2 linked regions of the Drosophila melanogaster genome follow. The protein of the gene in region 1 interacts with the protein of each later gene in a pairwise test. Each region holds a gene or a part of one and is shown on either strand. Other genes may lie near its edges.

The links. Proteins that work in one complex are often made in the same cells at the same time.
Region 2: the proteins of Pdhb (region 1) and Pep interact in a two-hybrid assay, tested with the Drosophila melanogaster proteins (one large-scale study listed by BioGRID).

What each region holds. Positions count from the first base shown.
Region 1 is NT_033777.3:29,111,200-29,116,697, reverse strand, and holds Pdhb (pyruvate dehydrogenase E1 beta subunit), read right to left. Parts: upstream 3,628-5,498; 5' UTR 3,558-3,627; exon of another isoform or gene 3,490-3,557; 5' UTR 3,441-3,489; coding exon 3,249-3,440; intron 2,705-3,248; coding exon 2,543-2,704; intron 2,270-2,542; coding exon of another isoform or gene 1,802-2,269; exon of another isoform or gene 1,752-1,801; intron 1,605-1,751; coding exon 1,193-1,604; intron 1,132-1,192; coding exon 1,012-1,131; intron 951-1,011; coding exon 739-950; 3' UTR 501-738; downstream 1-500. Other genes in the region: Atg14 (Autophagy-related 14), read right to left, coding at 1-230; alpha-Man-Ib (alpha-Mannosidase class I b), read left to right, coding at 4,201-4,287, 4,385-4,657, 4,826-5,339, 5,423-5,498. UniProt on the Drosophila melanogaster protein: The pyruvate dehydrogenase complex catalyzes the overall conversion of pyruvate to acetyl-CoA and CO(2). Might play a role in regulating synapse structure formation at neuromuscular junctions. Might play a role in maintenance of mitochondrial morphology.
Region 2 is NT_037436.4:17,639,028-17,646,795, reverse strand, and holds the start of Pep (protein on ecdysone puffs), read left to right. Parts: upstream 1-1,759; 5' UTR 1,760-1,905; intron 1,906-2,716; 5' UTR 2,717-2,809; coding exon 2,810-2,817; intron 2,818-3,069; coding exon 3,070-3,433; intron 3,434-5,540; coding exon 5,541-5,770; intron 5,771-6,742; coding exon 6,743-7,768. Other genes in the region: CG43085 (uncharacterized protein), read left to right, coding at 356-415, 475-1,182. UniProt on the Drosophila melanogaster protein: May play a role in the process of early and late gene activation, or possibly in RNA processing, for a defined set of developmentally regulated loci.

The DNA.
Region 1 (5,498 bases):
CTGCAGCTGTGGCACAGTGGGCACCGCATGTGGGCACCCATTCCCGTGGTGGCGTTCCTATCCTTGGCGTTCGCATCCTTCAACAGTTCCTTCGTCGCTGCCGTTGGCCTGCGCTTTGTTGTGTATCCTGCGACATCTGATTCCTCGTCCTCGCCGTTTGTGGAGGCGCTCGAGATGCGAAAGTTGTCGGGGGCCTTGCAGCTTTCGTCGGAGCTGGAGCTGTTTGCCATTACAGCCAAAGCATTGCAATTATTTGTTATGTTATATCTTTTGTTATTGTTAACTTTGCTATTATCGCTATCGATATGAGGACACCTATTGCTAAACGATAGGCTGATATCGAAAAAATAGATGTCGTCAGTGTTGGACAGCGTTCAATAGGAAAACGTTTTCATCGGTGCGCGCACTTTTTAAACTTCAATCATTAACGATAAGAATTATATATTTTTTATCTTCTGATATTATATCATTAACTATACCAAAATATAAGCACTCAAAATGTATTTATGTTTTCGTTTATTTTTCACAAGAGATTTCTATAACCAAATAATTAAACTAGAACGTCCGAAAACTAATCAAAACCCGAAAGCGGTAGTGCTTTATTTTCAGAACATTCAATTTCCAGTTCGGTGCACTATTATGGGGGCAGCTCGGTTAGACCAGAGGCAGCGTTTCGACTTGGACTATAAATTTAGTTAGCTGGGGGTTCCGATCGGGAGGCTGGCTAGTCCTGAGTTCCTACTTGTTGGCCGCAGCGGCCTTGCCCACTTTGCCACCCAAGACCTTAAGAGTCGCCTCCACGAGATCCTGAACGCGGGGCAGGGCGTGGGCCTCCAGCGTCTTGGCATAGGGCATGGGCACATCCACGCCGGCGCAGCGCCATACGGGGGCGTCCAGCTCGAAGAAGGTCTGGTCCTCCATTATGCGGGCGCAGATCTCAGCTCCAACGCCTAAGAGGGTAAAAATTTATAAATATCGCTAGGCTTTCAATTAGCTGAATTTCCCACTCACCGTGTTGGGGCCAGCCGTTCTCCACGGTCACCAGATGGTGGGTCTTTCGTACAGAGGCGAAGATGGTCGCCGTGTCCAGAGGACGAATGGAGCGCAGGTTAATGACCTCAGCCTCAATACCTAAACATATAAGAGAAGGTTAGCTACTTTTCGCGTCATTCAAAGTAAAACAGTGCCGTACCCTTCTTGGCCAGCTCGGCAGCTGCCAGAAGCGATGTCTCCACCGCCTTGGAATGCGCCACCAGGGTAATGTCCTTGCCCGGCCGCATTACCTTGGCCTTGCCGATGGGCACCAAGAAGTCCTTGTCGGCCACGTTATCGGCCACAGGGAATGCCGTGCCATAGACCAGCTCATTCTCCAGGAAGACCACTGGATCGGGATCACGGATTGCGGACTTCAACAGTCCGCGGGCATCCTCGGCATCGTATGGCGAAAGGACCTTCAGGCCGGGGCAGTGGGCGTACCAGGCGGCGAAGCACTGAGAGTGCTGGGCGGCAACACCGGAAGCGGCTCCATTGGGACCACGGAACACAATGGGCACATTGACGGCACCGGCAGACATGTAGAAGGTCTTGGCCGCCGAGTTGATGATCTAAGATTTGAAATTTTAAAGGGATATATTTTAGCAATCCATATTATTATGAATGTGTAATATGACTTAGAAATAATAAAGTGAAAAATGAATGAAAATAATGCTCAGTGTGGATGCCTGTTCCATCAAACTGCAAATTCGCCAATTCAAGTTAATACGCTTTATTTGATGCACTCCTTTCTGTTCCGTCTTGATCTTTACTTAATGCCTAGTTTCTGCTTAATGATAAATGCCGGCAGGCGGCGTCCCTTCCAGAAACGCGGCAGCGGCGTCTCGTTGGCCTGCCGCAGGATCTCCGCCACGTGCTGCTCCGCACTGAATGCCTCCGCCTGCTTGATCTGGGATATCAGCTTTGCTTGGAAGGCCTTCTCTTTGCGCATCTCGCGGCGCTGGCGCACCTTGGCCCACTCGAACTTCATCTTGCGACGCAGCTTCTTTAGCTTGTGCTTCTTCATCTTGCGCCGCCGAATGACGATGAGGCGGGCCGCCTCCATCTTGTCCGACTTGCTCTTGTCCAGCGGCGGCGCAATCACCTCGCCGACTCGATCTCTGTGCAGGATGTCGTTGATCTCATTCAGCCAAGTTGAGCGTGGACTTTCAATTATGAGGCTTATTGGCAGAGGGCGATCACCGACTGGCGGCTTGGCGCAATCGAGTATCTTTGCCTGCACATAATCGGATAATATGGGTGGGGATTAGTGAGGTCCGATCTATGACTTGGGGCAGGAGCTAATCCACCCATATTATCCCATTAAGCGCCGCTGCATATTGCACTTGAATTGGTCTATTTGCTAGCTGTTGGAGTTGTGAGGCATTTGTATTGGATTGTCGTGTTCTTTCTTTTGGTTTACGTTTTGTTGGCAATGAGATAATATGAGTAGTTAGCCTACTGCTGGAGTGCGGGGAGTGGTTCTTAGGACAAGGATGAGGCAACTCACGTGATCGATGGCCTGCATGGAGAAGTTCCAGGTCATGAACTCGCACACGGGACGCAGACCGGCCATGGCAGCGCCAACAGCGATGCCGGCAAAGCCCATCTCTGTGATTGGCGTGTCGATGACGCGCTTGTCGCCGTACTTCTTCCACAGTCCACGGGAAACCTAAAAAGGGCATTAAATGATTAATAGAATGTTAGGATACCAGAAAAATATGTAGGGCTTATTCAGGATGGGAACCTTTTATCTGTTTGTAAAACTTTCCAAGCTGATAACTCATTAACTAAGATTTCTTCAGGAAATACCATTATTCTAACAGGTAATTGTATTGTACTTTGCGTGTCCTATCTAGTTGTTACACCAGTAGCCACAATCATAGTTTAAATGAATCTAATAGGATAGAATTGCTAACGCCGGTTATCAATCCACCTCAAATGGGTAAACAAATCGTTGTTTTATGGGCCAATCTATATAATCAGCAGACAGTCGGTCACACATATTCTGCGTGACCTTGCCCACTCCGATCACGCATTCGGATTCGCGTCGACCTGTTCGGAATCACTATCAGTAGTTACATATAGCACGCATATATCACCCCGCTGACCACCAACTTCCCCCATCCCGGCCACCTGCATCAGCTGTCGTCGTCGCAACCGCCTGCTTGCTGTTTACGTAATCGCGCAGGGGCAGGAAAAGTCGCAGATCTCACCTTGTAAGCACCGTCGTACTGGGCCACCTCCTCGCCCAGGATGAAGACGCGGTCGTCGCGGGCCAGCTCATCGTCCAATGCGCTGTTGAGGGCATCTCGCACGGTCATCTGCTTGGCCGCCAGGGCCTTCTGGCTGGTGGAGAACGCTCGCTGGGCGGAGCTGGCCGCCTGGATGAGTCGGGTTCGGAGCATCGTCGGTTTGCGGTTCGCTTTCCTATGGGTCTATCGCTATCGTTGCCGGCTGTAGGTGTTATTTTTTGGGTTTTAAGTGCTATTATCTAACTAAAAATGGGCTATGGGTTTACGCACCGACTTCCGTCGAAATTTTGATGTGAAAATGGGATGTGACCAGATGTGACCACTTTAATGCCGTATTGTGGGCACACTTGGAGCTTACCAGGGCTGCCAAATAAATCACTGTTAAGTGGGACTAGTGTTGGCCACTCTAGATTTGGCTAAATTCATACTGTGTTAGCTGGATTTTCGAAAAAATTAGCCACTTCGTATTAATATATATTCTTTAGAAAAATTCTTTTATAAAGTAGTGATAATATCTAAAATATAATTTAATTTGCTTTTTTTTTATTTAAGAGGTATTTCAAAAGTAAATGATTGCTAGCCCCATCTTTAGTTTTGGCCGGACTGTTGAAGAACAAGTTGGCAGCATTGCAGCTCAAAAATGCAGCTCTCGTGAAATAATTTTAGAATTTCTTATTTGTAATTTTGCATAGTGTGGGCCAGAACTAGCATATATAAATTAATGCACTGGCACGTATAGAGATGATTAAGGCATAAAAGAGGTAGTAGTTGGACCAACCTTGGTTAGTTAGCTCCGATTCCTCCGCGGCCAGCGGCGCACAGCAATCGATTTTTATTCGAGGCGAATGCTGTGGAATTTCCCATCCAACTTTCCCACACTCTGAATTCCGGCGGCGGCATTTAGTGAAACACTATGAAGGACGGCGGTCACATAACGCTCACACTCCCGCCGGGATCAGCGGCGACGACGGACGAGCGGGGCAGGAAGAGCCTGCGTCGGGTAGGTAGCAACCTGGCAGAAGTCCAGTTGCTGGGGTCCTGGGACATCCTCAAGAAACCCAGAACTTATAAGTACGATCTTTTGTCTCACGGTTCAGGCTTGGAATCAGCTACCGCGTTGTCAGCGCAATCTCATTATTCTGGGCATCACCGGATTCTGCGTGACAGTGTTGCTCTGCCTAAGTGGCGATCAGCTGCTGGCTGCCAGCTTAAAGGATGTGGACACCAAGGCCGAGGTGGCAGCATATCAAATGCCCCTGCCCAATCCGCACCATCATCCGGGGGTGGATAAGGATGTGCCCAAAGACACTGCTGCGGTACCTGTTCCGGCCGATAAGAGAGCACCCCGGGTGGAGGCGGTTAGTGATAAGGTAAGTAGGCCCCCCACTTAATTGATAAGTGCCTAAGTGGCTGGAGTTGTTTGCCTATTAAGATAGCATGCGTATCAATACGATTGACTATTGGTGTTTGATTTATTGCCCACGCAGCACACTTCCAGTAAAATCTATTAATGATATCTCAATATCAATCAATTTCAGTTTAATGAGCTAGTTGCCTATGGAGAAGCGAACTCAGCGGAGAACGTGGCCCGTCTGCCGGAGACGGTGGCTGCTGAAGGACTTCCCCAGGCCTCGGCCATGGCCGTGGCCTTGCCTCCCCCCGATAGTAACAAGGAGCAGGACATCGGTGGAATCGACATCCTAAACAATGTAGAGGAGCCCGTCGCCCAGGATCCAGCAGAGCCGCTTAGCGAGGGCGAGCAGCTTGAGCAAGCCATCAAGAACCCACTCACTCTGGGCGGCGTTAGCTTCAAAGAGCATCTCAAAAAGATCAAGCCCATTCTGGCCAAGGGCCAGCACTTCCATGGCGCCACCAACGAAAGACAGTCGGCTGTTGTAGCCGCCTTCAAGCACTCCTGGGCTGGCTACAAGAAGTATGCCTGGGGCCACGACAACCTGAAGCCCATCTCCCAGTACTCCCACGAGTGGTTCGGTCTGGGACTAACCATTGTTGACTCATTGGATACCATGTACATAATGGGACTGGATGATGGTAAGTTGCCTATATCCTAATGTGCACAAAATCATTAGTTTATGGAAATACTTTCCTTATTTTTCTCAATAACATCTACACAGAATTCAAGGAAGGACGCGACTGGGTAGAGCAATCACTGCGCTTTGATACCAAGCGCGATGTAAACCTATTCGAGGT
Region 2 (7,768 bases), on another chromosome or scaffold:
ATGGATTTCTCAAAAACAATTACCAAAGTTTACAAAGGAAAGCAATAATTGTAGTATGCTTATATTTCATCGGAATATTGATAAGAAACTCATGTATTGTCAGAACCGTATTCTTTTGTATTTTAATAATTACCTCAATTTATTTTATTTAAGGCAGTTACCCGCAAAACACTCCGCAAAACCAAAATTTCAGACATTCTAATTCATCCCAAAGGTCACAAGAAAGGTACTCAATGTATGTACACATGTACGTAGCTTGATAACAGATTTGCTGATGGGTCTCATTTTGCGACGATGAGTATAAAAGGCCTTTTTCTGAGCAAACATAATTCAGTGTTCATTGTTCGTCGGTAAGATGAAGGCAGTTACTTCAAGAGTGTTGGGTTCGATCCTAGTGTTATTATTGATACATTTAGTAAGTTTGAACTGGGTCATTATTTTGTATATACTAAATATTTCTTATTCTTTTAACAGACATCAGCAAAAGAAGCGGAGGTTCACTTAACAAATCCTCCAACAGAATGCAGACTGGTGTGTAATCCAGGGTATCATATCGTGGTTAAAAAGGGTACCTTGTATCATAATGGTAGGAAGCTTGACGATAATGCACGGTATGCGCCGAAGATGGCGTGTGATTTGGAGAACAGTTGCAACTTTAAATTTACGCCACAAACATTAAGTTACATGAATACAGCAATTAATGTAGGCACACAACTAACTATTAATTACGACTGCAAGCGGGATAACTTCCAAGGAGATCCGAGAAGGATAACAGATTATACGAAAACGCAAGGATGTCCGCAAGACTCTTTTGTTCAGAAACACGTCGCATATTTTAACGATGAAAATATTGCTCCCAAGAGGGATACACCTGTCGCGCAAAGGGAAAGGGAAATGATTGCCATGGGCGTATGTGCTCAGGTCAAACGTTTTAGGCAAAACAACCCAAGAACGCCCATCGATCCACATCTTGGCACAGTGTACTTGATATTTGACAATAGAACAAGTAAAAATGATTTCATGCCGAGTCCTGATGTTAGAAAGTGCCAACTTAAGCCCAATTCTCTGACCAAGACATACAAGTATGATTGCGAGAGGAAAGCGGATAAATGGACATGTACTTTTGCCAGCAAGGGAAGGGACTTGGCCATAAATGACAAGATTACAAGTCACTTAGGATGATTATCATTTTATTGTATAGGACTCAAGGCTCAAATGGGAATGCAAGACACAGCGGACTAATTTTATTCCAAACGAAATTTTAAATATACATATATGCAATTGATCAAATTCGTAATAAAAATATGAATAAAACGATAATTTGTTCATTTCTTTTATCGCGATGGAATATAGCTCTATATATCCGTTGTTATACGCTAATAATATTATGTTCTATGATCGAAGTTTTAACGCTTTTTGTGTTTTACAGAAAAACGTTTTATGTCTAAAAGCGCATTTTTCACTTAAAGGATCCGAGAAATTTTAAAAGTGGCTTTATGATAGAATTGTATAAGAGTTTATGCAAGGATTACAAGCGGAAATTCTTTTGAAAAACATTTCTTTATTTAAAGCTAACATAACTAAGACACAAATTTTGAAAATATTACGGTCTATACCAAAAAAATATCGATATTTTGTCCTTATTAGCTTATCGCACTGCCATCTAGATCTGGAAAAAATATCTATGTGCTTCTTTTCGATAGTGATGAAAATTACTTTTATCGATACTTCGCGCACGACCATCTCTAGCGCAGCGTCAGACGTGATTCGATTTTCTTTCGTCGTTCGGATCGGAGCGTAATATTGGATAGGCGGAGTGTTTAGACAAGGGCGGCCATCTTTCTGAAGTGAGGAAAACTGTAGTCCAAGTAGTCCAGTCATTTTGACAAATCGCCGTTGCAACACGTAAGTTTCTAACTAATTTCACAGTTTGCGCTGCGCCTCTGTCCTTTACTTGTGTAGGCTAACTGAAAACTGGTGCGTATGTATGTATCTGTTGGCGAAAATTTTACTTTTTCACTTGCTACCCGGGCGTCTGAAAATAGTAATTATTGATTTTCCTGGGGCTCCTTGCGTGTATTTGTGCATTAAGTAATGTGATAATGAGGTAACTGCTTTTTTACGAGGCCTTGATTGTGGATTATCGTCGTAAGCGTTATTTATTTGCATTCCAGAGCTTAGACTAATGCGTATAGTATACGTCATTGGTGCAAAACATGTTTTTATCGCGATTAAATGGGTCTTTGGCTTTTTTTTTCCTATTCTGTACTCTAACTTTCCCTCCCTTTCGCACTCATACGGCCGGCCGGCTTTCTGGCTGAATCAATTACTTATACACACTCAGCGTCTGGGCCGCCATCTTTTTTCCACTCGCAGTGATAAATTTTAGGTGTTTTTTGTTACCTTCATTTAAATTGGCCAAAAGGCGTGAATGTGTTGGTGTCGCACAAACCAGTTTTACATGTGATTAATGTAAACTGCTGACTGTAGCGCCAAATTGTTCCATTTCTTTTCCTTTTCCCCTATCTCTTTGCGTGTATGTGTGTGTAAGTGGTGTGTGTATACGCACGCTGGCTTGTTTTACGGTTTTTGATGCGGTTCCATAATAACTACCCGTAGATGTGGATAAAGAGATCTGGCGATTACTAACCCAAATTAATGAATTCCCGCTTGCATCTCAACATTTGTTTTGTTCTTTGTGCCGTTTTACTTTCAGCTTGTTTAAATAATTTCCTCGCTTAAACACAAACCCTACATTACACATCCCATAAACACTCCCAAAAACAGCAAAAAAAAACCCATCAAAATTATGGTCAGGTATGCTGCACATCAACCCCGAATATTCGAAATTATTTATGTATCCCTAGTTCCCAATTCCAACGTGATTAATTATAAAATTATATTTTTCCAATATTGTCGATATGTTCTTGTTTAAAAATTGTCAGCTTATGTAGAATAATATATCTTAAACTGCTTGGAAAATTATAATTTTATTGAATAAATTTGTCCCCCTACCGCTTCGAAAGAAAGTTATAGTTATACTGATAAGTGAATCATGTCTTTTTGCAGCGTAAAGGTCAACGGAAATCCGCAGAATCGTTTAGTGAATAACGCAAAGGTCAACGGCAACATGGCTTTCCGTGGTAACCAGAACCGCAACCGCAATTTTGGAGGTGGCAACAACAACTATGGTGGACCCATGGGCGCCAACCGCATGGGCGGTATGAACATGTCGCCTTGGGAATCGCAGAATCCCGGCGGCGGACAGTTTGGTAACAACATGCGACAGGGTGGCGGTCAGATGAACGCCCAGGCCATCAACTTGGCCAACAATCTGCTGAACAATCTGTTCAGGAACCAGAATCCACCATCGCTTCTCGACTTGCCCCGCGGCGGCGGTGGCATGGGAAATCGCAACCAACGTGGTGGCCCGGTATGTACAAAAGTTTACTTATTCTCGAATTAGTTGACAATGCCAACCGAATGAATTGTTATACTTACCTATGTTGTTATTATTTATGGGTTCGTGAACTGCGAATCGTATTTCTGTTGTGGAGTGTCATATGTTGAAATAATTTAAAAAATTCTACTAAACATGTAGAATTCAATTCAAAGCACATAGTAATCTTAATATTTTGTCTGTTTACTTTTGTTGTACTCAATATAAACTCAACTTAGGATGCCTAAATCGTATAAACATTTTGTAATTACGTGTATACCTTTTGGTAATATACTTGCTCTCCACAGCAGAACCTTTTATTTTGTGTTTTACCCTTAGTTAGATCGTAATATTGCTAAATGTAGCTAATGCTTTTCCTTTAAAAGATAAATCAAAATGATCTTAAACCTAATCTTAGCTTGTAGTTTACTAAACTAAACCGACGACTGAAAAATAACGAAAACCAGCGAAAAGAATATTGAAAAAAGTAATAAGAACTTTGTGCAGTGTAGGATGTAAGGTTGTCAAACATTAGGATTAATGTGGTATTAGGAGGATTTCGATAAAAACGCATTTATTCCATTTAAAATGCAATGCTTTTTTGTTTCGTAGAAACTGCACAAACGAATAAGAACCTGATTATTACACCGAAAATAAGAAATGACAATTTTATAAAATAATACACACGTATTGATAGCGAAATGTACCAATTAAAACATGTACCGCCAACACTTGTTCCACTTAACGATGAAAAGAGTATGATGATGATCTCCATATGTCAAGATTGAATCATAAGTAATTTATATGCAATATTTTCTTACTAGTTGTACTTAAGCATTTAATTACATTTTTACCATATTTATAATTCGATTAATTAATTTCCGAAGTTCCATTGCCAAGTAAAAGAAACTTTCTTGGCCGAACTCAATTTGCCACAACGCTTTTCTAATTTATCAATTATCTATTTTTATTCTCTCTTCCAAAACCAAACAATGCCAAACTCAAAAATTCGATGCTTTTCAATACACCTCCAAATATCGAATATCGAAACCGCATCGTCTTGCATATTTCGAATAATGCATTCCATATTGTTGTTGCTGCTCCGGCATATATACTTGCTGTTGTTGTTGTTGCTGCCGCCGCTGCTGTCGTTGTGGTTGTTGTTGTCGTTGTCGCTGTTGCGCGTTGTTGTTGCCGTCGATGATGACTCTTCCCATTTGCAATAATCCATTGCAATCAACAAAAATCTAATCCCCATTGACGGCCAACAATATTTTCGAATATCCAAATGAAATTGAATGCAAAACGCAACGCACACGCACTCAACACACACGCACACGCGATGCACACACACACGTTGTGGCCAATATGCGAATCTTCACCAACGATGCGATACTGTAAACTGTACGATGCTTCCCGTGCGACGCCACTGATTGATTGATTGATTGATTGATTGATTGACCGATTGCCAAATCGATTGACATTGATCGCCATGCAATCTTCTAATCTGCTCTGCTCTGAAACCGAAACTGATCCGATCTGGTACTGGTACTGCTTGATGGTGCAACATAATTACATCCAAAACCACAATATGAAATACCTATTAATATTTTATGTCTAATGCCAATTCATCGCCAAATTCTTCTTCGACGTTCCTGCCTCTGAAACTCAAAATCCGATTTCCATTTTTAAATGCCACTCGCCGCCACACGCCAACGAATTAATATATATATATGTTTATGCAATATATATCAACCTATCCCCGTCGACTGATTGGCCGCCGCAACTGCCCCGTCGATCTGACCAAAATCAATATATATATACCATGTGCTCCATGTACTTATGTATACTTTACTATATATCAACGATTTATTCCCACAATTATCTATAATGTGTTCAATCTGATCGCTCCGCCCCTCACACAATATTGTAAATGGCCAACCGCGCCATATTGTCTCCGATCTTTCGAAAATGCTTTGTATCATTAATGCCTCTGTTTGTAAATCAAAACGATATCAATTCACATATGCCCCATGTGCGCATTCCGAATTGTGCAAATATTTTAATGTCAATCCCAAATGATAAACGAAACAATGTATAGATGGTCAGTCGCGGCGGCGGTGCCGGCAATCGTCTCAATAACCGTCGTGGCCAGGGAGGTGGCTTCCAAAATCGTGGCGCCACTGGTAGTGGACCCAAGCCCCCGCCAAAGCAGGGCGGCGGCGGTATTCGCAAGCAAAATGCTTTTGATCGTGCCAAGAAACTTTTGGCTAAAAATGCCAACCAAAATAAAAAGAAGGAACCCACTCCTGGCGAAAAGAAAATCGAGAGGTAAGACTTACAACAACTTTTCCAAAACAAAACCAAAACCACAACAAAAAGTATAAATATTTTGCTGCCCAAAATCGAAAGGATTGATTTCTTTCACTAATATCAAAACAAATAACGAACTTAGCAGGGCGAATAACAACTTTTTACTTAAGTACTTAGGCATTCCAATTCTCTAATTGCGTTCCCTCATACATCTCTAAAAAAAAAAGTATATTTAATTAGAATTAGTTCTTCATTAGGGATAGTATATTTTTTGATGCTGTTTATAAAACTGTGTGTATGTGGGGCAACTTGTGCGGGGACTCATTTGGGTAGGGAATTGTAAATGTATAAATTTATGTGTTGAAACTACATACTATTCAAGTTCATACTAATTTTTTAAAATATAATTTACCTTAAAAGAAATTGTTTAAATATAATCTTTTCTTTCTTTGACTTTTGTGCACATTAAAAGTTTTAAAAATATTTTTAAAGTTAAAATGGAGAGAACTTTATAATTTAACTTCATATTCATGCTTAAATATTTAAATTAAATGTATAAGCTCACAATAATATTAAATTTCCTCTCCTTTTTTATTGATTTGGAAGAATATAAATTTTGAATAAATATATCATAAATGTAAGATTTCATAAGAAAAGAAACATGCTTCTACATACCTAATAATTTTGTTTAAAACATAATTTGTGGCATATTTCTTCTCCTTGCAAAGTCATCATTCTCACTATAGTAACGCATTTTTATCATAGCTAAAAACATTTATTATTGTATCACCTATCGCCACCTGTACTGTACGTATCATAAGTCTAAATTGCAGCGAGAACCACTATACTCCTATAATATAATAATCTCTTCCCAATAGCCAGACAACCAGACGAATTCCCGTCTATGAATTTCAAATTAGAAAACTAATGAATCTTTCTTTTTCTATTCCTTCTCGAACAAATCGAATGATCCATGATCAATTTTAATAGCCCTACCAAGGAGTCTCCATACGCTAGTGTGCCGAACGACATGTTCTACTGCCATCTGTGCAAGAAGCACATGTGGGATGCCAACTCTTTCGAGAACCACATCAAGGGCCGCACCCATCTGATGATGCGTGAGGGCATTGAGGAGAGCTATCGCCTCAAGGCCAACATGATCCGTCAGGAGGCTAAGATCGCAGAGCAGCTCAAGTCGATCGAGTTTGACCGCTTGAAGCGCATGGGCAAAAGCAAGCAGCGTCAGCTGGACTACTGCACCATGTGCGACCTGAACTTCCATGGTCACATCTCGACCCATCGCAAGTCGGAGGGACATTTGCAGCTGAAGAAGTTCTTGCACCCCAAGTGCATTGAGTGCAACAAGGAGTTCGCCACTCGCATTGACTACGATACTCATCTGCTGTCCGCCGAGCATCTGAAGAAGGCTGCCGAGAACAACACCAAGGTGGGTGAGCGCAAGCGCCAGACCTTGCCCATCAGCACCGAAGAAGAGGAGACCCGCGATTTGCGCCTGCCCCAGAAGCGCAAGAAGAAGCCGGTCAAGAAGGAGGGCGAAGCAGCCGATGGCGAGGCTAAGAAGGAGGGTGCCGGCGATGGCGAGGGTGCCGAAGGTGATGAAGCCGAGGGAGAAGAGGCCAAGGAGGGTGAGGAAGCTGCTGACGAGACAAAGGAGGGCGATGAGCTAAACGAGAGCCAAGAGGAAGAGGAAGTGGCACTGCCCGTGGACCCCGAGGACTGCATCCTTGACTTCAACGACGGCGATGAGATCCCCAGCGAGGTGGATACCCGCCTACCTAAGTACAACTGGCAGCGTGCTGTCGGTCCCGGTCTGATCTCCAAGCTGGAGTGCTATGAGTGCTCGGTGTGCAGCAAGTTCTTCGACACCGAGGTGACCGCCGAGATTCACTCCCGTACGGCGACTCATCACCGCAACTTCTTGAAGTTTATCAACGAGAAATCAAGCGATACCAAGATCGCACAGAAGCGCGCAGCTGCCGCCCTGGAGGAGAATGA